Linked DNA regions of Sus scrofa. The protein of the gene in region 1 interacts with the protein of each later gene in a pairwise test. Links are inferred from orthologs where the notes say so. Each region holds a gene or a part of one and is shown in the gene's direction. Other genes may lie near its edges. The genes, in order: ATXN1, CAMK1, nuclear envelope pore membrane protein POM 121C-like, TRIM38, LASP1, EFEMP2 and ZNF488.

Evidence for each region.
Region 2: the proteins of ATXN1 (region 1) and CAMK1 interact in binary tests that used the Homo sapiens proteins (3 or more experiments, as listed by UniProt). The link is inferred for Sus scrofa from reciprocal best matches to the Homo sapiens genes ATXN1 and CAMK1.
Region 3: the proteins of ATXN1 (region 1) and nuclear envelope pore membrane protein POM 121C-like interact in binary tests that used the Homo sapiens proteins (3 or more experiments, as listed by UniProt). The link is inferred for Sus scrofa from reciprocal best matches to the Homo sapiens genes ATXN1 and POM121.
Region 4: the proteins of ATXN1 (region 1) and TRIM38 interact in binary tests that used the Homo sapiens proteins (3 or more experiments, as listed by UniProt). The link is inferred for Sus scrofa from reciprocal best matches to the Homo sapiens genes ATXN1 and TRIM38.
Region 5: the proteins of ATXN1 (region 1) and LASP1 interact in binary tests that used the Homo sapiens proteins (3 or more experiments, as listed by UniProt). The link is inferred for Sus scrofa from reciprocal best matches to the Homo sapiens genes ATXN1 and LASP1.
Region 6: the proteins of ATXN1 (region 1) and EFEMP2 interact in binary tests that used the Homo sapiens proteins (3 or more experiments, as listed by UniProt). The link is inferred for Sus scrofa from reciprocal best matches to the Homo sapiens genes ATXN1 and EFEMP2.
Region 7: the proteins of ATXN1 (region 1) and ZNF488 interact in binary tests that used the Homo sapiens proteins (3 or more experiments, as listed by UniProt). The link is inferred for Sus scrofa from reciprocal best matches to the Homo sapiens genes ATXN1 and ZNF488.

Annotation. Positions count from the first base shown.
Region 1 is NC_010449.5:12,728,051-12,732,131, reverse strand, and holds the start of ATXN1 (ataxin-1), read left to right. Parts: upstream 1-1,281; 5' UTR 1,282-4,081. UniProt on the Homo sapiens protein: Chromatin-binding factor that repress Notch signaling in the absence of Notch intracellular domain by acting as a CBF1 corepressor. Binds to the HEY promoter and might assist, along with NCOR2, RBPJ-mediated repression. Binds RNA in vitro.
Region 2 is NC_010455.5:66,052,491-66,056,580, reverse strand, and holds the start of CAMK1 (calcium/calmodulin-dependent protein kinase type 1), read left to right. Parts: upstream 1-1,290; 5' UTR 1,291-1,457; intron 1,458-1,495; exon of another isoform or gene 1,496-1,602; intron 1,603-3,448; 5' UTR 3,449-3,480; coding exon of another isoform or gene 3,481-3,487; 5' UTR 3,488-3,489; coding exon of another isoform or gene 3,490-3,495; 5' UTR 3,496-3,497; coding exon of another isoform or gene 3,498-3,561; intron 3,562-4,090. UniProt on the Homo sapiens protein: Calcium/calmodulin-dependent protein kinase that operates in the calcium-triggered CaMKK-CaMK1 signaling cascade and, upon calcium influx, regulates transcription activators activity, cell cycle, hormone production, cell differentiation, actin filament organization and neurite outgrowth.
Region 3 is NW_018085157.1:64,930-68,166, forward strand, and holds the end of nuclear envelope pore membrane protein POM 121C-like, read left to right. Parts: coding exon 1-367; 3' UTR 368-2,737; downstream 2,738-3,237. UniProt on the Homo sapiens protein: Essential component of the nuclear pore complex (NPC). The repeat-containing domain may be involved in anchoring components of the pore complex to the pore membrane. When overexpressed in cells induces the formation of cytoplasmic annulate lamellae (AL).
Region 4 is NC_010449.5:20,681,289-20,685,335, forward strand, and holds the start of TRIM38 (E3 ubiquitin-protein ligase TRIM38), read left to right. Parts: upstream 1-1,247; 5' UTR 1,248-1,467; intron 1,468-3,133; 5' UTR 3,134-3,278; coding exon 3,279-3,689; intron 3,690-4,047. UniProt on the Homo sapiens protein: E3 ubiquitin-protein and E3 SUMO-protein ligase that acts as a regulator of innate immunity. Acts as a negative regulator of type I interferon IFN-beta production by catalyzing 'Lys-48'-linked polyubiquitination of AZI2/NAP1, leading to its degradation.
Region 5 is NC_010454.4:23,225,710-23,229,209, reverse strand, and holds part of LASP1 (LIM and SH3 domain protein 1), read left to right. Parts: intron 1-21; coding exon 22-169; intron 170-577; coding exon 578-681; intron 682-3,500. UniProt on the Homo sapiens protein: Plays an important role in the regulation of dynamic actin-based, cytoskeletal activities.
Region 6 is NC_010444.4:6,453,828-6,457,954, forward strand, and holds the start of EFEMP2 (EGF-containing fibulin-like extracellular matrix protein 2), read left to right. Parts: upstream 1-1,327; 5' UTR 1,328-1,426; intron 1,427-1,783; 5' UTR 1,784-1,843; intron 1,844-2,151; 5' UTR 2,152-2,158; coding exon 2,159-2,269; intron 2,270-2,495; coding exon 2,496-2,544; intron 2,545-3,154; coding exon 3,155-3,361; intron 3,362-4,127. UniProt on the Homo sapiens protein: Plays a crucial role in elastic fiber formation in tissue, and in the formation of ultrastructural connections between elastic laminae and smooth muscle cells in the aorta, therefore participates in terminal differentiation and maturation of smooth muscle cell (SMC) and in the mechanical properties and wall integrity maintenance of the aorta.
Region 7 is NC_010456.5:88,472,914-88,476,921, forward strand, and holds the start of ZNF488 (zinc finger protein 488), read left to right. Parts: upstream 1-1,208; 5' UTR 1,209-1,359; intron 1,360-4,008. UniProt on the Homo sapiens protein: Transcriptional repressor. Plays a role in oligodendrocyte differentiation, together with OLIG2. Mediates Notch signaling-activated formation of oligodendrocyte precursors.

The DNA of each region.
Region 1 (4,081 bases):
AGTGACTCGGAGAGAACAGCTGCCTTGGGAGTGTGGGCTTGAGTGTAAGGCTTCCTTCTACCTGCTGGGGAAAACCTCTTGAAACAAATGAGCTCCCGGCTGTGCTTTGAAAGATGAGGCTCGGAAAGACTGAGGTTTTCACAAGTACTTTTGTAAGACTCAAATGCACAGTTTAAAAAAAGCATCAGTTCGGGGGTTGTATTTCCTCCTCTGTGCCAAACAGTTCATTTAGTTTTTTTAGTCTTTTCCTCACCCCCACCCCAACTCCACAGGCTGAAATGCCACTTCTGAAGAGCAGAGCTGCTGGTGCATCCTGGCACCAATAGAGGGAGCTGAGAAGGCCTCCGGAAGACCTCTGAGCTGAGGCCCAGGGCTGGACACTGCCTTCTCTCCAGCCTCTAGCAACCTCTGTGCTTCTGGCTAGAAGCCAGGTGTTTCTGGGAGGATGGGGAAGTGGTTCTAGAACTCTCTTGACAATTTTCCTATTCTACTGAAACTTTTGTTTATGGCCGTTGTCATGGGTAAAGGACCAAACACATATGCATCCAGAAGTGATCACCTGTGTGTATCCATAGAGGAAAGAGATAAGGCCCTAGATGTAAATAAAGAGAAGAAGGAAGAATGCAACAGATGGAATAAAGAGGGTGTATGGGGCTGCTATGACAAGTGACCACAAACAGGGTGGCTTAAAACAAGAGAAATGTACTCTTACAGTTTGGGAGGAGAGAGGCCCCAAATCAAGGCATCGGGCCTTGCAGGGCCTTGCTCCCTCTGAAGCGCTAAGGAAGAATTCTTCCTTGCCTCTTCCAGCTCCTGGTGATTGCTGGCCAGTCTTGGCTTTCCTTGGCTTGTGGCTAAATCACTTCCATCTCGGCCTGTCTTCGCAGGGCCTTCTTCCCCTTCCCTGTGTCCCCCGGTCTTAGGAGAATAGCGGTCAGGTGGGATTTAGGGACCACCCTCATCTGGTAAGACATCTTAACTAATTACATCTTAATTCCAGATAAAGTCACTCACTTTCCTAGGGTGCAAGGACTTCAACATATCTTTCAGGGGAGCACAACTCCACCCACAACAGAGGGCAACAGGAACTTACCCTGAGAGCCCACCTGTGGGGGAAAACACATAAATGGAGCAATAAAAGGAAAACAGTTACATGTGAAATTCTAAGTGGAGGTCAAATGGATTTGGGAGTAACAGGAAATATTAGATAAGAGAAGCTTTCACTTGGGATACGCTCTCCATCTGTGCTTATGGCCTTGATTTTTTTTTTTTTTCCCTCTCAGAGTTAAAAAAAATACTGTATAAATAAAAAGAATAAGAAAATAGCACTTCTCTGACTCACACATTGGGCAGAGCCGCAAATTCTTGTGATAATCAGGAAAGACTCCACGGAAGGGTTGGTGCCTGAGCTGGATCTCGGAGGATGAGGATAAAATCGCCATGTAAAGGAGGACTTCCCAGATAGAGAGAAAGTATATGCCAAAGGCCCAGTGTCACTTCAGTGATCCACCCTTTACTGCCTGAAATAGGGTGAACAACCTCTCAAGGCAAGGCGCAGACCGTCTGCTTGATCTGTATTACTCAGAAACAGGATTAAATACAGGAAGGGGCAAACATGTTGCTGGTTTTAATAAATGCACACAGAAGCACACAGTAACCTAAAGAGACAGGAGAGCAGCATCTCTAAGGAAGACTTCATTCTTGGGCACATTTGCCAAAGCACAAATATGGAAACCCCACCCTCAGCCAGAGCTGGAGAAATCAAAAGGCTGATGTGGTATAAATTCCTCTGCCCTGATTGCATAAGGAGATCTGCCAACATTTTTTTCTCTGATATATTCCTTGCTGCACAAAGAGCTGAACTGGGTTTTTAAAACCTGATCGTGAACCGAGATAGGCAATTCTGAATCATCACCAGGATCTAGGAAAATTAACCCTCACCGATCTTCCCAGATAAGCACCCAAGCTTGCTGCCTCTGAGATCTGCTGCGGGGTTCTGGCTAGGTTCCTGTCACAGAGAGACTCCCCTTTTTTGGCATAAGAATGTACAAGATGCCAGTAAAGTTCACACTGGGTCATCGAAGGCTCTTTAAATGCACGGTGATTCATTGCTGGGGGTGGGGGAGCGACGAGAGGGAGGGGGAAGGAAGTGCTGAGCAGAGAGGCGGAGCGAAGTAATTATGAAATTGACTGCAGAAAAAGCTCGCGCTGGGAGTGACGGGGGTCACGTGTTCCTACTATTGGTATTTCGGCTACAACTTTCAAACCCGAGGCAGGGGGGAGGGGTCGGGAAACCTCACCTTGCCTCTTGATTGGCTTTCGGAGGAGATGCTTCAGATGCCTGGCATATTTATTAGAATTACAACGGAGCATTAATTTCTCTTTTTATCTGACAAAGAAGAAACGCTCTCCCATGACAGTCCGGTTAGCAGAACAAAAATCTGGCTGTACTGGTATGAGTGAACAATTTGTCTTCTTCTTCTTGATTTACTCCGCATTCTAGCTGACAGGGTCTTCCATTCTGCGCATTCATTTTGTACTTAAAAAGGGATTGTTTGTAATTTACAGTTTAAGGCTGAGGGCCATTATTCTGCGCTGTCAGAACGCATCTGCCGCAGGAGCATCGTTTCAGCCTGTGCCAGGGCACAAAGCAAGCCCTGATCGCCAGTCAGCTTGAGAGCTCCCTGGAGACTCCAGCCCTTAAACTTTGGAGAGGCCTGGCCCACAGGGGTTCTGCAAATATCAAACTGCCTGACAACCCCCGCTGAAATCCTGACACACAGTTTCCTCTTTGTGTCCAAAAGCAAACTTGGCCAGTGCCTCTTCTCTAACTCTTCCTCTTTGGGGTAAACTTGGTAAATTCCTCATAAAATAATTGTCTTAAACTCGGACCCTCCTGTGGGTCAGTTTTCCTAGCTGATGGGTGACTCAAGAAAAACAAACCGACAGAGCTTACAGCTAGATATTTTAATATCCTGTAGTTAGAGTCACAAAGACCTTCCCTCTTTCCCAAACAGTTTGATGTGTTTTGTTTTGTTTCTTTCAGTCCGTTGTAGCCCCTGATCTCAGTCTGCAGACACCCTAAGCTTAACCCCTACAACCCATCAACTGCCATCATCTTAAAGTGTAAACAGTGGTGGCTTTGGGCTTTGATTTTAATTTGGAAAATGTATTTCTTTTGAGGAAACAAAATGCCAAGATGTTAATGAAATGCTTTTAATAGATTTCCAAATGCTCCCAGCCAATACCAGGCAAAGTTCAACTCACTCATTCTAAGCCTCAAACTGTTGTTCATTTTCTTTTCCTGTAAGAAGGGCTATGTCCTATAGATGATTAAAACCATAAATTCTGTTATTTCATAGGTCATTACATTACATTCAGTCTTGGTTGTAGTTACATTGACGAAAATTTATCTAGGTCTTGCTTGAAAAATAAATAATAATGGTTAAAAATCATCTCATTTCCTTTTGACGTGTCCTATTAGACTAAGTATATGAGAAAGTGTTATATATAAAAAAAAAGACAGATTTCCTTTTGGTGGCCTTGATTTGTTTTCTAGTTAAGCAGCAACTGTATACTTTTCATTATTCATGCCCAAAGCCATCTGTCATTAAAAGGTAACACCCCCAACCATTCAGCCACAAGCTGCAAATCCAGCTATAACTCCAGAATACATAGCTTTCCATCAGCTTCCCAGGGTGGCACAGTGTCTGGGATCCTCTCTCCCCTTCTCCCCCCCCCAAAAAAAAACCCACACCAGATCTAACAAATTTTTAGTCTAACAGACAAATCTAATAAATTTCTATTTTGTGGGCCCATGCCAGATCTACCCAGGAGATTATTCCTTCACCACCAGCTTACTCTCAGAGATCATTTTAACAAAGGTTAAGGTCCATGTTATACACTGCAAGGGGGAAATCTCAGGAAGGTTAAAAAAAAAATAACCCAGTTATCTACTCCACTACTGCAGAGTCATGCCAGGATCTTAAGGTCTCCAATTAGTTCTTAGAACTAATTCCTGCACCTCCCCAGCCTCATTATTTATACCAGAGTGGTCCATTAGAAAAATAATGGACACATG
Region 2 (4,090 bases), on another chromosome or scaffold:
AAGTCTAGCTGTCATATTTTGAACCCCGGTGGTACTCCAGGCACGTCACATCCATTATCCCACAGAATTCTCAGGAAAATTCTGAGTCAGTCATCAATATTCCATATTCCAAATGAAGAAATTGAGGCTAAGAGAGGTAAAGTGTGACTCAGAAAAGTTAGTCTCTAAAGCCTTTCTAGGAACCTCTTCCTCTCTCATTGTAGAATGGGCACAATAACCTGACCACCTTCGGACACAGTCCTGAGGTTAAGACAGGGAAAAGCCAATTGAAAATGAGATTGAGCTAAGCATTGTCCTCTCCCTATCTGCAGCTGTAAAATGCAGGAATTCAAGATTGAGGAGCGGCCATGAGGTGGAGTGGGGGGTCCCCAGAAACGTGCCTCCTCCGGCTGGCTCCAGTCCAGCCCCACCCCTTCTTTCTGGGAGTTGCTCCCTCAGTCCCTTCTCCCCAAGGAAGGCCTTGCTCAAGAGGACACAGACCAGGTCTTTTGGCCCCTTGCCCGCCGCCCCAGAGCGGTTTTGGGCTTCCTCTCCCAACCTGGCCCTGAGCCAAAGGCCGCTGGCGCCAGCCCAGTCACGTGGTCCTCTTTGGCCCGCTTCCACGAGGATCCAGATTTAACTCTCCCCCCTCCCCCTTCCCTCCCCGCCCCAGTCCCTCTGGGCACCACACCCGATCTGGCCCGCAGGTGTAGGGAATTAGAGCATCAGCTCTGCAGGTGTGGAGAATTAGAGCCTTAGCTCTGCCTCAGAGAGGGACCTCAGTTTTCCCGCAAGTCAAATGGGATCCCCACCCTAAGACTGTCTCAATTCTCTTCATCACCTACCCTTGCCTTGTCCTTTCCGAACGGCCCCAGGCCTCCACTCCTCTCAGTCTCTAGAGCTCTTCCCTGGGCCTAATTCCCAGGGGCGGACAGGGGCAGGGAGAGTAGGACAGCGCCCAACCCTAAGGGAGCTCCCAGAACTGGTCTGAAAGAAACTCCTAGAGATAGGGCGAAAATGGCCAGCTTCCGGCATCAGACAGACTTGTGTTCGAATTCGACTCTGCTTCTGACCAACTGACTTTGAGCGCTTCATCTCTCTGTGCCTCAGTTGTTCCTACTGTGAAACGGGGACCCAGCCTGATGACGAAGGATGAAAAGAACCCAGCGGAGGATCTGACCTGCACGAAGGGCGGCCGCTGTTAACTCCTGACCTCTCGCCCCTTTCCCAGCCCGGGAGCGGAGCCTCACCTCCCAGTCCCCAGTCCCTCCGTCGCAGGCTCCTCCTCCACTGACATCAGAGCCGCAGGCGGGCGGAGGGAGCCAGCCGAGTCCGAACCAAGCCCCAGCGAGAGAGCCGGCGGCGGGGCCAGGCGCGCAGCAGCGGCGGGCGGCGGACGGCGGCCAGCGGCCAGCGGCCAGAGCCCAGCACCAGGCACCTCCGGCCTCCCAGCCAGCCCCGCGGCGGGGCAGCCGCAGGTACAAGCCCAAAGCCGCGCCGCCCGACCCTGGGCGCAGCCGCTGGATACCCTCCCCCAAGGATGGAAAGGGGAGCCCGGGCGTGCCGGACTCTAGATGGGCAGGGCCGGGCCTCACTCCCCAACCTCTGCCCCAGGCCCAGCAGGTGCCGGTGGGAAACTGAGTGGGTAAAAGAGGAAGGTGGGGAAGGGATGTGTGTGCGTGCGTGTCTGCCTTCAGCTGGGCCTGAATGTGGAAGGACTGGGCATTTGGAGGTATGGATGTGTTGGGATATGAGAGTGACTTAGCTTTGGCAAGGGGCTTCAGATATGAAGTTGCAGCATGTTGGTGTATAAGGGTATCCGTGCGGATGTCTGGGAGTCAGTGCTTTTGTTGCAGATATATGTCCAGGTGTTGTGGTGTGCTGGTATCCAGCTCAAAAGGGCAGTAAGTCAGAGTTGGGGACGTATACAGTTGTGTGCTGACCATGTTTGGAGTTAGGAGTATAAGGATTTGCAGTTGAAGAGCTTCTAGGATAAAGGTATGAATGAATCTGGGATGTCTGGTATACAGGTGAGTGTGTGTGTCTGCCTGTCTGGGTGTCATCAAGGTGTGTATGGATGTGTGTTTTGGGGTATGAGAGGGATGTTTGGGTGTGAGGATGTCTGGGGGAGTGTGTGTTTGGATGTGTGTGCTGACGTCCGGGTGTACATGTGTGATCAAGTGTCAGAGTAACTGGGGATGGCGTGTGCTGGAGGCAGGTGTTTGGGTTCAGGGGTGTGGGTGGCTTTTGATGTGAAACTGTGAGGTTCATATCTGCCAGGCTTCCAGGTGGGTTTAAAATTCTGCCTCTACAGCTTACCACCAAGTCTCCTTTCCTAGAAGTTTCTGCCCCTTGGGATTGGTGGCCAGGCCCCCTTGGGAACATGTCCCATCCAAAGAGTGGAATCCCACACTAGGAGCTCTAATCAGGGCACCTTCCCCTCATTTTTTCCCATGGAGGAAAAAGAGAAGGAAAGGGCCCTCCCTGAGGACACACAGTACACTGAGCTCTGTTTTGGCTTCACTCTCTGTGGACCTGGGATGGGATTGAGAGGCTGTGTTCTCTGGATGGGTCCTAGTCTGGCTGCAGTGCCTTCCTAGGTCTTTGCCTCCAGCAGTCTTTGCTGGGGCCCAGCTAGGGGTCATTGAGCAACTCTGGATCCAAACCCTATCCATCACCAACCTTCGTCTCCCCATTCTTCATCTGATAAATGGGGAGAGCTCACCCTCTACTACTGGTTAGAGTCTCCGTGGTGGTGAGGTCTCAGTGGTGAAAAGTATAGGCTGGATCAGGATGAGATGAAGCCAGGAAGGGACAGGTTGGGTGGGACAATTTCTCAGGTTGCTGGGATCCAGATGGGGAGTCAGAAGGGAGAGGGGGTAATAAGAGGCCTGGGGAGCTCCAGCTGTGGCTGCTGTTGCTGTGGTAACAGTGTGGAAGGAGCTATTTAAAAAACGTGGCAGAGATATTGCTGGAAGCCCAGGCTGCCGGAAACCTGATTTCCAAGAGGCCTGGCAGGGAGAAGGGGGAGGGAGAGGAGACACCCCAGCAATTCTGAGGGTGGGGCTGGGACATCACTGGTTCTGGGACAAGGGGATCCTCCAGGGCAGTGCGTTTCTACAAGCTGCTCTGGGGTCTTCTCTGCACTTCTCCCAGAGATCAGTGTGCCCCTAAGCGTTTGGATTTAGAGAGGGAGAAACTGGGAGGTGAGCTGAATTAATGAATGAATGAGTGACTTTGTTGAATAAAGAATTTTGCTGCCACCCTGAGGGATTTTCCTCTAAGCATAGGGCGTGCTGCATAGGTGTTGAAAGAACAAATGGCTGTGAATGAATGTTTGCTGAATGACTTTGTCTAATGAATGATCAAGGAATGATTCAGTGTGGGCTGAGTGACTGAACAGGAGCCCCCAAGCAAGTTCCTACAAAGATGGGGGCCCCACTGAGTCTTCTTCCATTCTCCTTCCTAGGAGCCCTGGCTGTGGTTGGGGGGCAGTGGACCATGCCGGGGCAGTGGAAGCCCCACCTGGAAGCAGGCGGAGGATATTAGAGACATTTACGACTTCCGTGATGTTCTAGGAACGTGAGTCTCAGGGTGGGAGTGAAGGGGCGGCTGTCCCTGAGATGGGAGGTGGGGTTGGGAAGGCCCTTACCCCTGGGCCTGGAGGGGCTGAGGCCAGGGCGGTGCTTCCTCTGGCCAGTTGATCACTGCTTCCTGTTTCTTGCAGCCCAGGCCCTATGGTAGCATTGCCTGGCCCAGACTGGCCTTGGCTTTTCACTTCTGGCTGACGGTGGGTGGGAACTGAGGCGGCTCTTGCCAGAGTTCTAGGTTCCTGTGATGAGAATGAAGGAGCCACTTTTTCAAACTTGCTGCCAAGAACTGGGGGTTCTAACCTAGGTTTTAGAACTGAGGCTGGGCATGGCTGCCCACAATGGTGGGAATCCAGAAATAACTCAAACCTGATCTTTGCCCCTCACATTGATCCCAAACATGTGAGGGAGACAGACCCACGTAAGATGACAACAGGTGTGTGCTCTGCTCCAGCTAAAGTCATGAATGAGGACTTTGTTGAGCCCAGAGAGAGCAGAGACTTCTGTGTGGGGATAAACTT
Region 3 (3,237 bases), on another chromosome or scaffold:
TGCCTCAGGAGCCTTTGGCTCCGGAGCAGGACAGAGTGGGACCGCTGGCAGCACGACTCCTTTTGTGGGAGGCTTGAGTCAGAAGAGCCTGGGTGCACCCAGCCAGAACACATCCTTTGGCCTCAATGTGGCCTGCAGTGCAGAGAGCCAACCTGTGTTTGGAGGCGCCTCCACGCCCACCTTTGGTCAGAGCACCCCTGGCCCTGGGGTGGGCACATCAGGCAGCAGCCTCTCCTTTGGGGCGTCCTCAACACCCATCCAGGGCTTTGTTAGAAAAGGACCTTCCTTTTCCATTGGTGCGGGACCCAAGCCCCCAGGGGCTTGGCAACAGCTACAGGCCCGGAGGCAGCACACTAGCAAGAAGTAGCCCCTGGCCCTTACCCCCCCTCCCACTCCCCTTTACCCCTCCTGCCAACAACTGGACCTTGGCACCTGCCAGAAAGAGCCTCTCACCTTCTCGTTCCATGAAGCTGAGATCTCTGAACCAGTCCTGCTTCAGCCATGGGGCGGGGAGGAGGAGTGGCAGGTGCAGAGGCTGCTCCCTGTCTTGCAGGAAGCAGAAGGCCGAGGCCTCTGGGGGGATGGGAAGGCAGGAAGGGTGGCCGGGCCGAAGCCTGTGACCTTACTTGAACAGTTGCACTGGTGAGGCTGGCGAGAACTGAGGAAACAGCTGAACAAGGAAGCCTGCTTCCTTCCCTGAGGCTCGCGTGGTATATACGCTTAGTGAGGCAGCTCCCTTGCCAGCGTTTCCCTGAGAGCCAGCTCTGCTGGAGAGTGGCAGGTAGAGACCTCACCCCTTGCATCTCTGATATGCATTTGATGGGCTTGGGGGAAGCGCTTATCCCTATAGCTTTACCTTGCTTGGCTTGGCTATGCAAGGTGCGTCTCCCCATCTTGTCCCATTAGAGGACTCAGTGTCTCCATTCCTGCTGCTTTGTCTGTCACCGACTGCTTGCAGGATCAATTCCTTTTGAAATGATCCTGAGTCTAGCTTTGCCTTGGATACCCCAGTGGGTGCTGCTCCTCAAGTCGGAGCCTCTGTTTCATCGCCAACCCTCTCTGCCAGTTTGGCCCCCACGAGCTTGGTGGCTCAGGACTGTTAGCCTGGCAGATGGAGGGGTGACCTGTCACTCTGGGAGAGGGAAGCTCTTGGAACAGGCAGGATGCCCACCACTGCTTTCAGCTGCCTCCTTGTCCACCTTCCCTGTTGGCCTCACTGGACTTATCTACCTCCCCGGGATCACATGTTTAAGCCTTATTCTGTATTACTTTATCGGATGCTCATGTCCATTGCTCTTAGAGTCGAGATTGATGGAATAATTGAATTGTATGAGTGGCGGCACGTTGGTAATGCTGGACGGAACTGTTTAAGTTTCTGGGGCCTCGCTATTTGAATGTGGAAAGTAGCACCACTTGATGGCTCCAAGTGCTGAGTCTTGACTTTTCAGTTGGTGTTTTGACCTTCAGGGCTGGCGGCCTAGGTGGATGGGGCCACTTTTTTTCTTTGCCCATCTACCTAACCTCATGGCAGGCTAGATCACCCATCGTATAAGTTAGAAAGCGTTTAAGTAATAAGCAACATTTTAAAACCGTATCTTACTCCCCCCGCCCCTTCCTTTCTTCTTCCTTTTTTCCAAAACCACGTACCCCAGGCCCAAGAGCCTGGCTGCCACGCCTATCCTCTTTGGGAGAAGCATGAGTGCGTGTGTCGAAGTGAAAAGAAAAACATCCTTAAACATTTCCAACCAGATAAAATAGTTATTTTTGTGTTTAAGCTAAATTGCCTTTTAAATTCCTTCAAGCTTGGTTCATTGAGGTGGTTAAAGACTATAGACTATAGACTAGAAATTAGCTGTATAGTTCAGTAATGCCTGTGTGAAGAAGAGGCTCAAATGCTGTCCCAGGCAGCCTTTCCGAGGGCCTGGAGCTTCTGCTGGAAGCACAAAATGTCATTCTTATTTTATAAATGTGACGGAGGTGTAAGGAGTCCCCCTGCCCATTTTGACTGAGGGTGACTGTCTGCTGGACAGCTCGACTCCTGGAGAGCTCGACTCCTGGCTGTTGTGTGTGGAGCTGAGGAGGGACCTGAACCTGGAACTCGACTCCTGGCTGTTGTGTGTGGAGCTGAGGAGGGACCTGAACCTGGAACATCTGCCAGGACGAGAGGGGGGTGGGGCACAGGCCTAGAAATCAGGCTTCTGCCTACACCTTACATAAGGCAGACCCTCTCAGGTTAGTCCTCTGAGCTAGCTTGCCTCAGTTCCCCAGGCAGGACCCTTGGTCCAGGAACCCCCAGGAGACCAAAATATTATTCTGCTCTTCTGAGGATTGCAAGGAAATACGGGAAAAAAGGTTTCTCCTCAAAAGGTACAACCAGTCTGACTTTCAGCTACAGTGTGAGCCTCATTTTCAAATGTATACAGTGCTTCCAGTTCTTGAATACTTCTGCGTTACAAGAGCATGCAGCTTTGGACTACCTGTTGGCACTGTCCCCCCTGCTAGGCATTTTCAGAATTGCTCCATGAGTTTACAGTTTTTTCTTTTAGTATACTTTTGATTGCAAAATGTGACTGTCATTGTTACCCTTTTATCCATTAACTTTGTTCTTACGGAATCATTCCCTTTTAATGTTTCCTTTAAGTTTTTGGGTAATTTTGTGAGACAGCAGCAGTAAATGTATGTATGGAACCTGCCGTTTTTCGTTTGAAGACTGCTATTTAAAAATGTAACAAACATATCTAGTTAATATTTTATACCGCTTAAATGTCTCTGTCCTTTTAGAAATAATATAAATAAAATGGTTTAATGTTGATATGAATGTTTCGTATTTATTTATTTTAGGATTCCATTTTACCCTTTTTTTTTTTTTTTTTTCCTTTTTGCCGCTTCTAGGTCTCCTCCTGTGGCATATGGTGCTCCCAGGCTAGGTGGCTTGTTGGACCTGTAGCCGCCAGCCTCTGCCAGAGCCACAGGAACTGCCAGATCCAAGCCGAGTCTGTGACCTACACCACACTCACAGCAATGCTGGATCCTTAACTCACTGAGCAAGGCCAGAGATCACACCCGCAACCTCATGCTTCCTTGTCGGATTCCTTAACCACTGAGCCACGATGGGAAATCCTCCATATCACAATCTTCAACGCAAACACCAGTTATGGTTTTATTAACTTTATATTTCATTATGGATTCATTTAATCACTCTGTTTATTAGTTTCTTTCCTTGCCGTTATTTCTGAC
Region 4 (4,047 bases), about 8.0 Mb from region 1:
CTGGGTCCAGAGTCGCATCCACAACAATGAAAGTCGTGCGAATCTGCACAGAGTCTGCATTGGGTCAGGATTCGGGGTCTCATTCTTTCTCTTCCGTCTGCATGCTGGCTGCCTTGGGAGTAGATGTGTCCTGTACCATGTGTGGGGCCAGCTACCACAGGACATGCCAGGGCACTGTGAGTCACCTGGTGGCAAAACGGCCAAAGGCTCTGTGAACAGCCAGGAGGATGCAGTGCTGAAGAGAGACTCCTGTTTGGGTGGGAAGAGAGGAAGCTGTTTCACAATTTTGCCTCCAGCCTGAGCTGCTGAACCAGCAGGACTGTGGCTGCATCAAGTTCCCCCCAGTCTCCAGCTGCAGGTCCAATGCCCTTAGCACAGACCATGAACTTCCAGGGTCAGCAACTGACCCACCCAGCCAGGGGCCCAGGACCCAGAGTTCATCCCAGGCAGCTCTCAGAATCCAAACTTAACTTCTCCTGCCTGTGTCCTTAGCCATCCTTACTGGCTCCCCTGGGCCACTGCATGTATTTATTTCCTAAGCAAACACTGTGCACTTATCACAAATACCTCTTACACCTAAGGTTATGCATGTGGCAAGGTCTTATTTTGAGTTAGTTTTTTCACATTAAATAATAACTCTAAATTGGGTGGGCCCAGTATTTTTGCTTCTATTTTGAACTGGAGAGGCTGGAGCTGAGGCACTAAGTACTCAACCCTAGACCCCCAGAGAGCACTGAGCAATGCTCCCAGCTCACATGGCTCTCAGCTGAGGCCACTAACTGCTGGGCCATTAGTGGTTCCGTTTGCTGTCCTTGGTGCCCAACTCTGACTGTTGATAAGGATGAGAATCTTTCACAGGGACACTGAGGAGGCAGATGAGACAGGGTATCAGGGCAAAGAATGGGAGACTGCCTGGAGAAATTTTCTGCCATCAATGAGCCCCATTATGGTACCACCCCTTTTTTTTCACCACATCCTTCAGAGCAGTTATAAAACAACAAGCAGCCTAAAAATAGCAAAACGTAACATCAGCCAGGGAGGTTATGAATCCCAAGGGGTTTGGTGGCAAAAGCAGAAAGATCTCAAGTCAGAGTCTGTGAACTCTGCAGACTTCCTGGGTTTAGATCCTCTGTGCTAGAGTCACAAAAGAACTTCCTGAATTACCAATCCATCCCTTTTACTGCTGTAAAAAAAAAAAAAAAAAAAAAAAAAATTTCTTTAGCATCTCCCCTCCCTTTCAGCATAAGCAGAGTGCAAAAGAGATGGGCACATTTTCACTGGTTTCCTCCTCAGCTGGGCAGAGCTCCGCCTCCCACAGTAGTTTCACTTCTGAGTTTCTGTAGCCTGCGTGAACTTCCTGGCTGCTACGGAGGGATCTAGCAGAGAGTGTGTGACTATCTGTGGTGACGGGAGTGGAAAAGGTCCAGGCCCAGGTTTTCTTGGCGGAGGGCTAGGAGACATGTGCATGTGAGTGTGTGGTGGTGGGCGGCCGCGGGGTGGGTAGGGGTTGTTTTCTGAGAACAGAGCCTGCTGGAACTCTGAAAATGGCCAGGCCTTGGCTTCAGAGCTCTCACACCCTGTCTGCTTTCTCCTTTCCCACCCTCCACATCCAGTCTCAGAAGATCCAGGGTGTGAGGTGAGTGAAGGCCCAAGACAGGCACCCTTGGGCCTCAGAGGAGGGGAGGTAGGTCCTTCTCCCCAGGAGCACAGTATCCCTGGCAGAGAGGAGCCTAGTGGACCTTCTGGGCGAGATAACCTGCCAAAGAACAGATGTCTCTGGAAGAAATTCTCTGTGGCTCCATGAGCCCGGTTCTACTTATTAGAGGGAAATGGCCTCTCCAGTAACTTTGGCTGAATCCCTGCTCTTAATTCTGGTACTGTCACTTCAAAAGAAAGGTCACTCTCTAAACTTCCTCCAGCCTCCACTGCCCTCCCTGACCAACTGCCAGGAGTAGGCAAGCAGGGAGCAGGGCTGGGGTCCCGAAGCAGCTGCAGCAGTGGGTAAAGGGCTGACTTCTTCACTCCTGTTCCCTCCTCCAAAGTCTCTGGGTTGTCGGGTCCTCATTGAAGGACACCAGGGGTCCAGCACCCAGGGTCCCACAGAGGCCCTACCTTCCCCATCTGCTTCCTATGTCCCCACATCCTGGCTTCTGCAAACTCCCGTGCTCCAGTCACCCTGCAGTTCTCCTGAGAGTCAGGTCCTGCTCTGGAGAAGCAACAGTTAACCTCCCTAGCTCTCCAGGAACTCTGCTACCCATAACCAACCCCTTCTCTTCCCCCTTTTTTTTCTTTTTAGGGACGCATCCCCGGCATATGGAAGCTCCCAGGCTAGGGATTGAATTGGAGCTGCAGCTGCCTGCCTAGGCCACAGCCACAGCAATGCAGAATCTGAGCTGCGTCTGCAAACTATACCACAGCTCATGGCAACGCCAAATCCTTAACCCACTGAGTGAGGCCAGGGATCGGACCCATACCCTCATGGATACTAGTTGTGTTCTTAACCTGCTGAGCCACAAACGGAACTCCCCCAGCTTTTTCTAATTCTCTTTCTGTCAGGTCAGGGAGGGCTAATAGAGTTCCCTGGTTCTTCTGGATGTCTTTTTTACTTTCACTATCATCCTGATTGTGTCTCCACTGGGGATTTTATTAAGCTGGTGTCTATGGTTCTTTGTGGGTAAGAGTGGGAGTTTAATTAGAGTCAAATTGGATTGTTTCAATGGAATCTTCATAGACCACCCAGTTACCTAAGTGTCATTACCAGTTACAAAGAAATAATTCTGGTACTAGTTATTCTCAACCTTTATTAGAGTGGGAAAGAGTCTGACAGTCCCTCACTGAGTTCTCTCTCTTGCTGCAACTTTGCTGAGGAGGCCTACCTTGTCTCTCTCTCTCAGCACTTAGTCCAAGAAAACTTTTCACAATGATGGAATGTTCCATATCTGGGCTATCTTAGCTATCCATCACCTGCAGCTATTAAATAACTGAAATGTGGCTAGTGGGTGTGAGAAAGGAATTTTTAATTCTATTTAATTGTAATTAATTTAAATAGCCACAGGTAATAATGGCTACCATACTCCACAACAAAGCTACATTGTACACATTTTCTAAATTCCAATCTATTCCTTTTCTCTAGAAAGAAGACCTCATGACCTGTGGAGGCCAGTGGTAGCCAGTGCATCACAGAGGCTCAGGTGAGGTAATTTCTGAACATGGTGGGAAAATTCTGGCTGCTTCTTCTCTGCCTCTAAATCCAATATTGGAGCTTTTCAGGAAAAGCCATGGCCTCAACCACAACCACCAGGAAGATGAGGGAGGAAGCCACTTGCTCCATCTGCCTGCACCTCATGTCTAAGCCGGTGAGCATCAGCTGTGGACACAGCTACTGCCACTCGTGCATTGTGAACTTCTTTGAGAATCTCTGCCGAATGCAGCCATGGCTGGAGACATTCTCCTGTCCCCAGTGTCGGGTGCCATTTAAAATGTCAAGCCTCCGACCCAACGTGCAGCTGGGAGGCCTCATTGAAGCCATCAAGGAGATGGACCAGGAAATGTCATGTGAGGAACATGGAGAGAAGCTCCATCTGTTCTGTGAGAATGAAGGCAAGCTCATCTGCTGGCGCTGTGATCGGGGACCACAGCACAGAGGGCACGCCACAACTCTGGTGGAAGACGCGTGCCAAGGCTACAAGGTAAGTGGTGGGCCAGAGGGGTTTGGCAAGTACCTGGCCTCATGTTGCCCCTCACCCCACTCTGAGACCTGAGATTATTTAGCCTGAAACCCAAGATCAGGATCCTAGAATAAAGTTTTCATCATGTCATTCTTATGAGGGGTCCTCACTGAATCTGGTCCTAATGGTCTATCCTGACCGGAATGGTCAGACTCTTGTCCCTAGCCAGTCTCACTTTGATGACCTTCTCCCTGCCCTGATTGCCATGTGCTCCAACACCCACATGCATGTCCTATTGCCTCACACTCTGTATGTAATCTGGGAAACCACAATGTACAAGACCATGGGATAGAGTCTGAAAACACAGGGGACAAAGACA
Region 5 (3,500 bases), on another chromosome or scaffold:
CAGCACTTTCTGCCCCTGCAGATAAAATACCACGAGGAGTTTGAGAAGAGCCGCATGGGCCCCAGCGGGGGTGAGGGCCTGGAGCCCGAGCGCCGAGATGCCCAGGACACCAGCTACCGGCGGCCCCAGGAGCAGCAGCAGCCTCATCACATCCCGACCAGCACCCCAGGTGAGCGCAAGGCCTGCGGGGTCTGAGGACCTGAGGCCAGGCTGGCCACAGGGTGGGCAGGAGGTGAGACACACACACACACACACACACACACACACACACACCCAGGCTGGCCACAGGGTGGGCAGGAGGTGAGACACACACACACACACACACCCAGGTCCCATCCCTACTGAGGGCTGAGGGTCAGGGCCTGTGCTGGACCCCAGTGCAATGGGGGGGCGACACAGCCACTGCTGCAGGGTAGGGACACCAGCAAATGTGCTCAGAGGCAGAAGCCTTGAGAAGTGGGGGTTGGGCAGGGTTGGGGGGCGGTCATAGGCTTCATGCAGGAAGGGAGGGGGCTCTGGGAGGGGCTGGGTTTGGACACTGTCTTAGTGTCTGCGCCTGTCTCCTGCTGTCTTCCAGTTTACCAGCAGCCCCAGCAGCAGCAGGCGGCCCAGTCCTATGGTGGCTACAAGGAGCCTGCAGCCCCAGTTTCCATACAGCGCAGCGCCCCAGGAGGGGGCGGGGTGAGTAGCCCTGGTCGAGGTCAGGGGGAGGGGAGCTGGGGGAGGTGGCTAGGTTTAGGGAAAGGCTTCCTAGACTTGGAAAACCCAGAGGCCCAGCCAGCTTCCCCTGACCTTTGACCCCAGCTCCTCTGACATCTGCAGGTGATAAGGGTCTCAGCCTCTTGAGCAGAGAGGAAGCGCGGAGTAGTGGGCAGAGCCCTGGCCTGGGCCGGGCCACACTCACATCGTATGGCAGCTCCCAGGCTAGGGGTCCCAGGCTACGCCACAGCCACAGCAATGCTGGGTCCGAGCTGTGTCTGACCTACACCACAGCTCCCGGCCATGGCAGATCCTTAACCCACTGAGCAAGGCCAGGGATCGAACCTGCTTCCTCATGGATACTGGTCAGATTCGTTTCAGCTGAGCCACGATGGGAACTCCAGCCAACAGTTTTTAAATTAGAATCACTCACCTGGCGTTTGGCCTCACTGAGGGTCAGGTTCTTTGTGCCTCAGCGCAGAAGGAATTCAGCGAGAGGCAAAGTGACAGGCAAGAAATAGATTTGTTAAGGTAGGACCCTGTGAGAGATGCCAGTGGGCAGGCAACGAGGCTCTGCCCCGAGGATTAGGTGCGCTGCAGTTTTACAATCCAAGGGACTGGGGTGGGAAAAGACTGCCTCTTCATCTTTCAAGTAGTAGCTCCTCCTTGGTATCTGGTAAGCGAGTGTTTGACCCTATAAGCTTAAACTAGAACAGTCTTGGCGCTTATTCACATTTGCACAAGGATTGTCTTTAAATTCCTGCCCTTAGTCTGAGCCTGAATGCAGGTCTCGCTCCATCCTCCACCCAGTGACCTCAGGCCTATCCCTCCCCGCCACTAGTCAGGCAATCCTGCCTTGTTCTCATGGCTTTTTTGAGCAATTATTAACTTACAGTGATCTCCCAACGTTCCTTAGGTTTCTCTATCTATGTTCGGTCCCTTATTGGGACTCCTACAACTACCTGTGTAATGATCCTACTCCAGCCCTTATCAGTATCTGGGGTGTCAGGCGGGCCCAAGGGAGCATCTGAAGGATGAGGTTCCGGATGGACCAGCCAGTCCTTCAGATACTCACTAAGTCCACCCTGAACATGAGGGATTTGGCTCTGAAGAAAGTCCTCCTTCTCGGCCTCTTGGAGCTTACATCCAGTCTGGGAGACAAACATGAAAGCAATAGATAAGCAGAAGTAACGAAAGGTCAGAGATAAGCCGTGAAGAAAAAGACAGCCGGGTGAGGGGAGAGAATGACAGTTCTCAGGAAAGGATTGAGTGGTGGAGAAGGCCAGCAAGTGCAAAGGCCCTGAGGCAGCAGTGTTCTAGGAAAGTTCCAGGATCAGCAGGAGGGCCAGGGTGACTAGGGAGGGGAAGCCGGTGGGGAGGTGAGGTCCCATCCTACAGGGACTTGGAGGCCACAGGAAGGCTTTTGTGAACTGGGGAGCTGTGCAGGGCGAGGGGTTTGACTTGTGTTTTTAAAAGATGGCTCTAGCAGCCGTGTTGAGAAGCAGCAGTAGAAGACGAGGGCAGAAACAGGGAGATAAACTCGGCTGATGCAGCTCTAGGTGGTGGCCAGTTGGCCCGAGAGATTAGAGGCAGAGCTGGTGATAAGGGAAATGGCTGCGGTCACTGCAGTCATTTCCTGAGGGTTGTGACCTCTTAGCCCATAGCCTTCGGGGCTGATGGAGCTGGTTTCTGCTGCTTGATCAAAAGTCTGAATTTTCATGCTAAAGAAGATAAGGGGCCTCTGAAGGATTTAAAGCTGGGAGTGGCATTATCAGGTTTGCATTTTGGAAAGTTCCCCCTGAGATCAAAAATGGATGGACAGGGAGCTCCCGTTGCGGAGCAGCAGAAACGAATCCGACTAGGAACCGTGAGGTTGCGGGTTCGATCTCTGGCCTTACTCAGTGGGTTAAGGATCTGGCGTTGCCATGAGCTGTAGACACGGCTCGGATCTGGTGTTGCTATGGCTGTGGTGTAGGCCGGCAGCAACAGCTCCGATTAGACCCCTCGCCTGGGAACCTCCATGTGCCGCAGGTGCAGCCCTAAAAAGACAAAAAAGTAAAATAAAATAAAATATGGATGGACAGTTGGAAGAGGCAAACCAGAGGCTGGACGGTACAGGCTGAGCTGACCCCCAGAGACAAGTCCATGTCAAGGGCAGCGAGGGTCAGAGGGCGTTCGAATCTTGCCTGCCTCCAAGATCACAGATGGGTTTCATGTGTTTTTCTTGGACATTTCCTAGAGCTGGGGCTTAAACACAAGATTTTTGCTGAAGTTGGAAGGTGGGACCTGATGGTTTTTCTCTCAGGAGTTGTTCTTTGTCTTGAACTTGGGAAGCAGATTCATCAACAGCTTTAAAAAAAGAAAGTCTAGTGTTTATAGTAATACAGATCATTGCAGACCAGGAATATCATTTTTTTCTTTTTTTGGTTTTTGCTTTTTTTATCTGTACCCGCAGGCATGTGGAAATTCCCGGGCCAGGGGTCGAATCCACGCCACAGCAGCGACCTGACTGCCACAGTGTCAATGCCAGGTCCTTAACCCACCGAGCCACCAGGGAACTCCCTGGGTATGTTTTTAAACTACCTGGGGCAGTGTGCATGGGACCTCACCTGCACTCCTGTTCCCAGAGGTGGGGCAGAGCCCTGTTGGTGGCCTGGCCCTTAGCAGATGCCAAATGCATTGTTTGAAAGGTGGCTGCTCTCAGACAGTGAGATACCCAGGTGGGAAAATTCTTGGCAAAGCTCCCAGCTCCCGTTCCCCTGCTCCTCCGGCCTCTGCTCTGGGGTCCCAGAGACTTAGGC
Region 6 (4,127 bases), on another chromosome or scaffold:
CCGGCTGCATCCATGGCACATGGAGGTTCCCAGGCTAGGGGTCCAATCAGAGCTGTAGCTGCTGGTCTATGCCAGAACCACAGCAACACCAGATCTGAGCCACGTCTTTGACCTACACCACAGCTCACGTAATGCCAGATCCTTAACCCACTGAGCAAGGCCAGGGATCAAACCCAGGACCTCATGGATGCTAGTTGGGTTTGTTAACTGCTGAGCCATGAGGGGAACTCCTGTATTTTGGTTCTTATGACTAGTGTTGCTATGACCATCGTGCACAGGCTTTTGGTGTGGACATACGTTTTCAATGCCCCGGGCGTATACCTAGGCGGGACATCACTGGGGCATGTGTTCACATTTTGAGAACCTGCCAGACTGTTTTCCCCAGGAGTCCTCCCACTTTACATTCCCACCCACAGTGTATGACCGTTTCAAGGTTTCAATTTCTCCTTAACATCCCCGACACTTGTTATTGTCTGTCTTTTTGGTTTTAAGGAGTTATTATTTTTAGCCTCCTCCCCCGCCCTCACCCCAGGGATGCGGGGAGAGGGGGCTGCTTAGAGGATGTGGGGGAAGGGGAGGTAGGAGCTCTCCATTTCACCCTGAACCCGAAAGGGTCACCTCAGGACCCCCTGGAATGTCCTCTCCTTCACACACCCCCCTCGGGCGGGGCTGCTATAGGGGGCGATTATGAGGACCACTTGGGGTGGGAAAGGGCTTAACAGTTCCTGCTGGCCATCTGCCTCCAGGCAGGGGTTCCCTGGACACGCAGCCCTTTCCCGTCTGGCCCCGCCCTGAGACGTGGGCAGGGCGAGACCACGCCCCTTCCTGGGAGCCAGCTCCGCCCAATCTCCTCCCCTTAAGGCGCTCCGTCTCCCTGGGAAAAGAGGCAGACAGCCCGGGGCAGGGAGGTGGGGTGTGTGCGGGGGAGACATTGGTAGGAAGATGGCCAGGAAGGTGATGGCCCCGGACCCTGGAGCCCTGCACGCCCGAGTTCAGCCCTGCTCGACTTCTCAGGGGCTTCCATTCATTCTGAGCCAAAAGTGAACTGCCGCCCCCGCCCCAAACTGATGTAGCCTCAGGGACTGAGGGCCCGGGGGAGGCCGTCCTGGAGTGAAGGGACCGCCTGGCTGAAGACAGTCCCGGGGATGGAAGGGAGAAGGGACAGAACTGGACGGTTCTGGACCTGGGAGCGTCTCTCTTCTCAGGGCGAGGGTCTGGGGACCCTGGATGAAGTTGCGGTTGTGGTATTTCCAGAATAACTGTCCGGGTGCACAGAATAACACTCTGGTGGCGCAGAGTGAGGAGGATCTGCAAGTTCCAGGGTTAGGTGGAGTCTAAGGGCCCAGGATGACATTCTGGGAGGCGCAGAGTCTGGGTCCCTGGCATTAAGATGTGGGTGCACAGGAATTCCAGGGGTGCAGATTAGGTAAGGTCTAGGTGCGCAGGATGACATTTTTGGGTGCACAAACTGAGAGCCTGGGGGCTCCAGAGTGAGTTGGGGGCTTGACATCAGGGTCAATGCCCCAGGATCCTGTGCTAAGGGACCCTGGCCTGGCGCCGGGAGGCGGCTCCGGGCGGCGCCGCGGGGGACCGGGTGGGGCCTGTGGCCGGCCGGGGGCGGAGAAGCGGGGGTCGGGGTCCCTCCCCCTGGCGCGGGCTCAGGAATCCGCCGAGGGGCGGGCGGAGGCGCCGGGGTGGGCCGCGCCGCGGCAGGCGGGCGGGGGGCGCTTCCTGGGGCCGCGCGTCCAGGGAGCTGCGCTGTCCGCCTGTCCGTCTCCCGCAGGCACTACCGGAGCCAGCCGAGCCGCCGGAGCCGCGGGCCTCCGGGCCGTCACGGGCCCAAGTGAGTGGCCGTCCATGGGGGGAGGGCGCCAGCCAGAGTCTCGGCCGAGTCGGCGGCGTCAGCACCGAGCCAGAGGCCTGCGCTCCTCGGCCCGAGCCACTGGGGGACCGGGCGGGGGCGGGGCGACCCGGGGCGGGTGGGCCCTGAACCCCGGCCTGCGTGATCAGTCGACCCCCGGCCCTGGGAGGCTCCGAAGCCCCAGACACAGTCCCGGGCGGGTGGTGTCGGGGACCAGGTCTCTGAGTCCTGGTTCGGGCAATGGGGGATCCGTGGCCCAGACGCCCTGACCCCCACTCACTACCTCCCAGCCCCAGGATGCTCCCCTTCGCCTCCTGCCTCCCCGGGTCTCTACTGCTCTGGACGCTGCTGCTGTTGCTCTTGGGGGCAGCGTCTCCCCAGGATTCGGAGGAGCCCGACAGCTACACGGTGGGGACAGTGGAGCCCCTGGCCTGGGCTGGGCTGGGCAGGGACACCAAGACCAGGATCCTGGGGTGGCTGCTGCTGGGGCAGGTTCTCCCCTCCCCTGGTCCGTGGAGCAGCTGGAGCTGTTGTTTGGAGCAGGCGGGGAGGGTGGCCAAGCTTGGGCTCTGGTCTTGGCCTGGTCAGTTAGAGGAGAGGGGGTGACCACTGGCCACCTCTGGTCCCCCTGTAGGAATGCACAGATGGCTATGAGTGGGACCCCGACAGCCAGCACTGCCGGGGTGAGTATGCTTGGAGCACCAGGAAGTGGATTGCAACTCCAGCACGGAGAGCTGCTGTGGGAGTCAGTGGCCTGTCCCCTGCCCAGCTCTGCCTGGCCGTGGCCAGCTCTGGTTCTCAGGGGGCCAGCTTAGCTGGGGGTGGAGAAGCCATCCAGGCCCCTCCCTCTCAGAAAAACATGGGACAGCCTCCTCCCACCCCCCAGGAGTCCAGAGACCAACAGGGCGCTGCCCAGAGGCATGGTTCCTGGCCACCTCCTCTAATCACTTTCCCACCCAGCTTCGTGCCATCGTGACCTGGGAGGGCAGCGTCTGCGGGGGTGGGCGAGAAGGCCTGCACCTCACTCTTGGGCTGAGTTGGGACCAGGGCTCTGGGGCGGCATAGAGACCCTCTTGGGGATAAGAGAATGGAAGTGAGTGGAGCAAGAGCCAGCCTGCCACCAGCCCTGGTGGCACTGGGAAGTGGTCCTGGGCAGGCAGCCTTAGCTGAGGAGAGTGGGAAGGCCCTTCCTGGGTCACGCAGCTTAGAGGAGGCTGCACTGGGCTCCTGCCGCCCACCCCCTCCGTGGCCAGCCCAGGAGACTGGCTGTGCCCAGCAGGCCCCTCTCCGCAGATGTCAATGAATGCCTGACCATCCCCGAGGCCTGCAAGGGGGAAATGAAATGTATCAACCACTACGGGGGCTACTTGTGCCTGCCCCGCTCGGCGGCTGTCATCAATGACCTGCATGGCGAGGGACCACCACCACCAGTGTCCCCTGCTGAACACGCCACCCCCTGCCTACCAGGCTATGAACCGGATGAGCAAGAGAACTGCGTGGGTGAGTGAGGGTCGGTTGCCCTGGTGCTGAGGCTTCCAATCCTTCTATCAAGTGTCTATCACTGCATTTTAAAAACTCACAGCTCATGTTCCTCCCTGGCTCAAAAGCTTCCTCGGGGGAGTTCCCGTCGTGGCGCAGTGGTTAACGAATCCGACTAGGAACCATGAGGTTGCGGGTTCGGTCCCTGCCCTTGCTCAGTGGGTTAAAGATCCGGCGTTGCCGTGAGCTGTGGTGTAGGTTGCAGACGCAGCTCGGATCCCGCGTTGCTGTGGCTCTGGCGTCGTAGGCCGGTGGCTACAGCCCCAATTCAACCCCTAGCCTGGGAACCTCCATATGCCGCGGAAGTGGCCCAAGAAATAGCAACAACAACAAAAAAGACAAAATAAATAAATAAATAAATAAAATAAATAAATAAAAAAATAAAAAGCTTCCTCGGGGCCGCTGGCATAATAATATCCAGCCCCTTGTCCAGATCCTCACTGTGGGGGGCCTGCCCAGCTCCCGTCCCATGCCCAGCCAGCTTCCGGGATCCTCCTTTTGATCACTGCAGGTGCACCGCGGGAGCGCTCGCTGTCAGCCTCTTCCCCTTTCCTGGTTTGCACCCCACTCCTGGGTGCTATAGGCCTCAGAAGAAGGTTCTGGAATCAATCAGTGTTCCTGGGAGCATGGACAGGGCCTTATTTCCTCTGCTTCCCTGACATGGGGTCTCCCAGGGTAGGGGTGCCGATATCCCAGGGACTCCAGACCAGCAGATTCTTATTTGTGC
Region 7 (4,008 bases), on another chromosome or scaffold:
ATTAGGGATTTGATTTCTCACATTCATATTCATTAATGGGCTCTCCTCATAGAAGAAAAGTTTGCTTTGGGGACCATTATCCAGAGCTTTAATGTCTATTCTGAATCTCATCTTTTGCACCTCAGACTCATCATAATTTTGTTCCTTTACAATCTTATCTGTGTGAAGATGCTCCCTAACCTTGAGGAAAAGCACAGAGCTTTATCACCTTGTATCCCCACACTCTCTCCCCTCAAGGGCATCCAGAACATTTACTGAGTTAAGGAAGAAAGGAAGGAACAGGGACTCAGTTCCTCTAGGAGTCTCTCTTCCCCTCTCTAATCTGCTAAACTGAATGGGAGCCATTCTCCTGGCTGCCACTGCAATAACTCCTGAGACTCCACGTCCATCTCCCCTCATCCTCCTTACAGGGGAAAGTCCTACGTGGGCCAAGCCCTGGCCTGAATGTAGCCACTCAGAAGGCATTCCCTCCCGTCGCCACCCTTCAGGCCCTGGCCTGTCCCAGCCTCCATGGGCAGGTAAATTCCCTGACACCTTCGCATTCTGTGAAGTCACAGAACTCACCATTACTTGGCACAATGCTGCCATTTCAGAACTTAGGAGGGCCAGGAAAGGCAAAGAGGCCGAGGCTCTGCTCCAGCGAAGTCTGGGAGACTCTCAGGGCGCCACAAAGATGGAGCTCCCGCGGCGCTCAGCCTGGACGGGGAGGAAAGTCCTGGGAGCTGGGCAACGCACGGAGGATCCGCAGCTGCAAGGCACGGACCATCTGAGGAATCTGGCTGTCGCCCGGGTCCCACTGACCCAAAAAGGAAGAAGTCGCGGCGCAGGGGGCGAGTGAACAGCGGCAAGTGCAGCCTCCGCTGTGGCCCAGACGCCACCTCCAAAGGCAGCGGCGGCTGAGCGCACTGTGGAGCGGCCCGAGTCAGGGCACCCTCCTCGGTCCCTCAGCTGGGAGGCGCCGAGCGAGGCCGGAGCCAGTGGGACGCAGGGCCTGGGTCTTCCGAGCTGAGTTCGTGGGAGGGCCAGGCTCCGCCGAGAGGTCGCGAAACCGGCGCTCGCCCTCGCGTTCGGGGCCTCTGGCCGGCGTTGTCCAGGAAGCGCGTCTCCTCAGCGCCCCTCTCGGCGGTTTCAGCCCACTCGCAGGCCCCTCCCCGAAGGCCCCTGGGCCCCCAGGGGCGGGGCGGCGCCCGAGGCTCCGCCCCAGAGGCGGGAGCGGCTCGGGAAGGCGGGGTCCGGCCAGCCCCCAGGGCTCGCGCGCCAAGTTCCGACCCTTGCGAGGCGCCTCTGACCTGCAGGCGGCCGTGGCTGCCAGCGCGTCCCCAGCGCGTCCCCAGTGCCCAGCGCCGCAGGAGAGCCGAGGTGAGACCCACTGTCCTGCCCTCCGGGACAGGGCCGCGAGTGGGCGCGGGGGTCGGGAGTCATCTCATTTCTACGGTCCTTTCCCCAGGGCAAGTTCTCAGTCCTGCCTTTGACTGCCCGGTTGTTGCCCTCCCGCTGTTACCAGCTTTCTCCATCTCTCCTTTTTTTTTTTTTTCCCCTCCTGTGCTACTCCTGACCCTTCCCTCTGCCTCTGTCTTTTGTCTTTTATCTCTTCCTGTATTTATCTCTCATCTGTCTCACTTTTTCCTGTCCATTTTTTTATTACCGATTTCCCTATCCTTCCCTTTCTCTTTCCTCTTCTGTCTCCGTCTCTCTCCTCCCACCTTCTTCCTCCTTTCCTTCCCCTCAGCAAGAATTAAACCTTGAATATATATATATATATTTATTTATTTATCATAGGTTGACTTTTTGAGCTGCAATTATTTTAATTCCTCCATCCACCCCTTCACTCACGGTGTGCTGCTCCATTATTTTCAGCCAGGGCTTGTGCTGGGCACTAGGGTAATAACGGTGCATCTGCAACAGATTCTATCCAAAGATCTGGGTGTGTTACCTGTTCAATGCCTATTGTGGGAAAAATACATAAAGGGTCAAGTTGAAAAATCTCTGAGTTTTCAGAGTGCACTGAAAATTTTAAAGACAAGGCATTTATGGAATCCTTTTCTTAGCATTTTGCCTTTAGTAATAGACACAGCCAGCACCAGGAAGCTAAATCTTGCAGGAACATTTAAGGGACATGGGGCCACACCATCCTTCTGTGGAGGCAGTGCAAAAGCCAAGTCGGTGGGGAGAGTGAGGGTGGCATTTAAAACGCGGTTTGGTCAGCTTTAACGGAAAAAAAAAAACAAAAACACCTCAGTTTGGGGAAGACAATAGGGTGACCAAGGCTTTACATATGCAAGGGTGAGAGTTGAAATAAGCAATCAACTGTAAATTTCTAAAGTATATCTATACTTGTCAGTGCTGTTGGTATGCAAAATTTGATTTCACAATCATTGTTGAATGATTCAAACTTCTTATTACAATTATTGTGGCATTTAAAATTAATGTTTTCACACAGTGAAAATGCTTCATCTTAATATCAAGGATTGCCTTAGACACAAACTTAAGAAATATAGAAAAACAAATTTGATTAGTTTTTGAGGAATACAGTAGAAGGTATTGTATATTAAAGTAATTTTTTTCATTTCTTAAAAATTTAATCTTGCCAGAGAGACATGATTTCCTTATTTAATATTTGTATGGCATATATAGCTATGTGTTCAAACACACATATACACATACTGTATACACACTTAAGTTGTAAAAAGAAAACTTGTTTGTTTTTAAAGCTGCTAATCACTGCCCAACACTTGAAGCTTTTTGTTCTTCTTATAATTAATCCATCTTTTGAATTTGTTGTGATTTTTAGTGATAATTCAGCTGATTTAACTTTTCAGTTGATGTGCAAAGGAAAATTTGCCAATAGATAAATCACACAGAATTAGCCAAAATTAAGAATGATGGAAGAAGATTTCAGTGTTGGTTGAAAGAATTTTTTTTCCACTTTATATCAAAGTATGTTGGACAAATTCATAGGTGTAGCATGCACTTTTTTTGGGGGGAGACTGCTCTCTGGATTGAAGAGTTAAATTGTCTTTTACATCATTTAACCAGTAACTTTCCATGGGTTAGCTTTGGTGGGGGGAGAAGGAAGGGATGCTTTTCCAATGATTTAGAACTCTCATGTCTTTGCTCAGCAGAGGTCTTTTTCAAAAATCTAGGAGGTGACAGCTTTTCCTTGAAATAAATAATCTCATTAGTTTTTTTGTGTGTGGTTTTTTGTTGTTTTTTTTTTTTTTGTTTTGATACAGGGCTAAGTCTTGAGCTACAGTGCTTTAGTGCTTTGTAATTTCTTTTCTTTCGTCAATAGGATGTATCTTCCCTTTTTTCTAGTCCACGATGCTACTTCAGAGTCTGGCTGGGCAGTCTTTCATATAAACCATAGACTTTTCCCCTGAAGGCTGATCTGGAATTGGTCCATGTGGCCAAGCTGTGTTAGGACTGAAGCTGACCTCTCTGTGGGCCTGGGAACTGGCTACATCCTGGGGATCCTGCGTTTGGTTTTGTGGACATAGCAGGAATTGCTGCTAGAGGGGTGTAGGCACGGCTGGACATGGAGCCTTTGAGGGCCAGCTGGGAAGTCCTCCTCTTCCCCAGTGTCATGGCACCACCAGCTAGCCTCCAGGAAGGACTGGACAACTCTGACATTTCTGATTTTCTTGGGTTCCAGGCGAGGCAGATGCCTTGAAAATATATGGAAAACGCAGTACCTCACAATCCACACATGGAAGAGTTGGTTGGATGATTATCCCCAGAAATCTTCCCCAAAAGAAGCTCCCAATTCTAGGGAAACCCAAGTATTGAGGGGCATGAGGTTTTTTTCTGTTCTGGTTTGTTTTAGCTGAAAGGAAGGAAGATACAGAAAGATGCTGGCTGTTAGTATAGATGGTATCACTGAGTAAGATCTGGTTTGTGAACTTCAGCTTGGAACAGCTGGATGCTGGCCAGCTAACTTGGGGTGGTGTGGATCTGCAGACGTCTCAGGGACATGAGGTTGTCCAGTTGTTTGCAAAGAGTTCTTGCTTC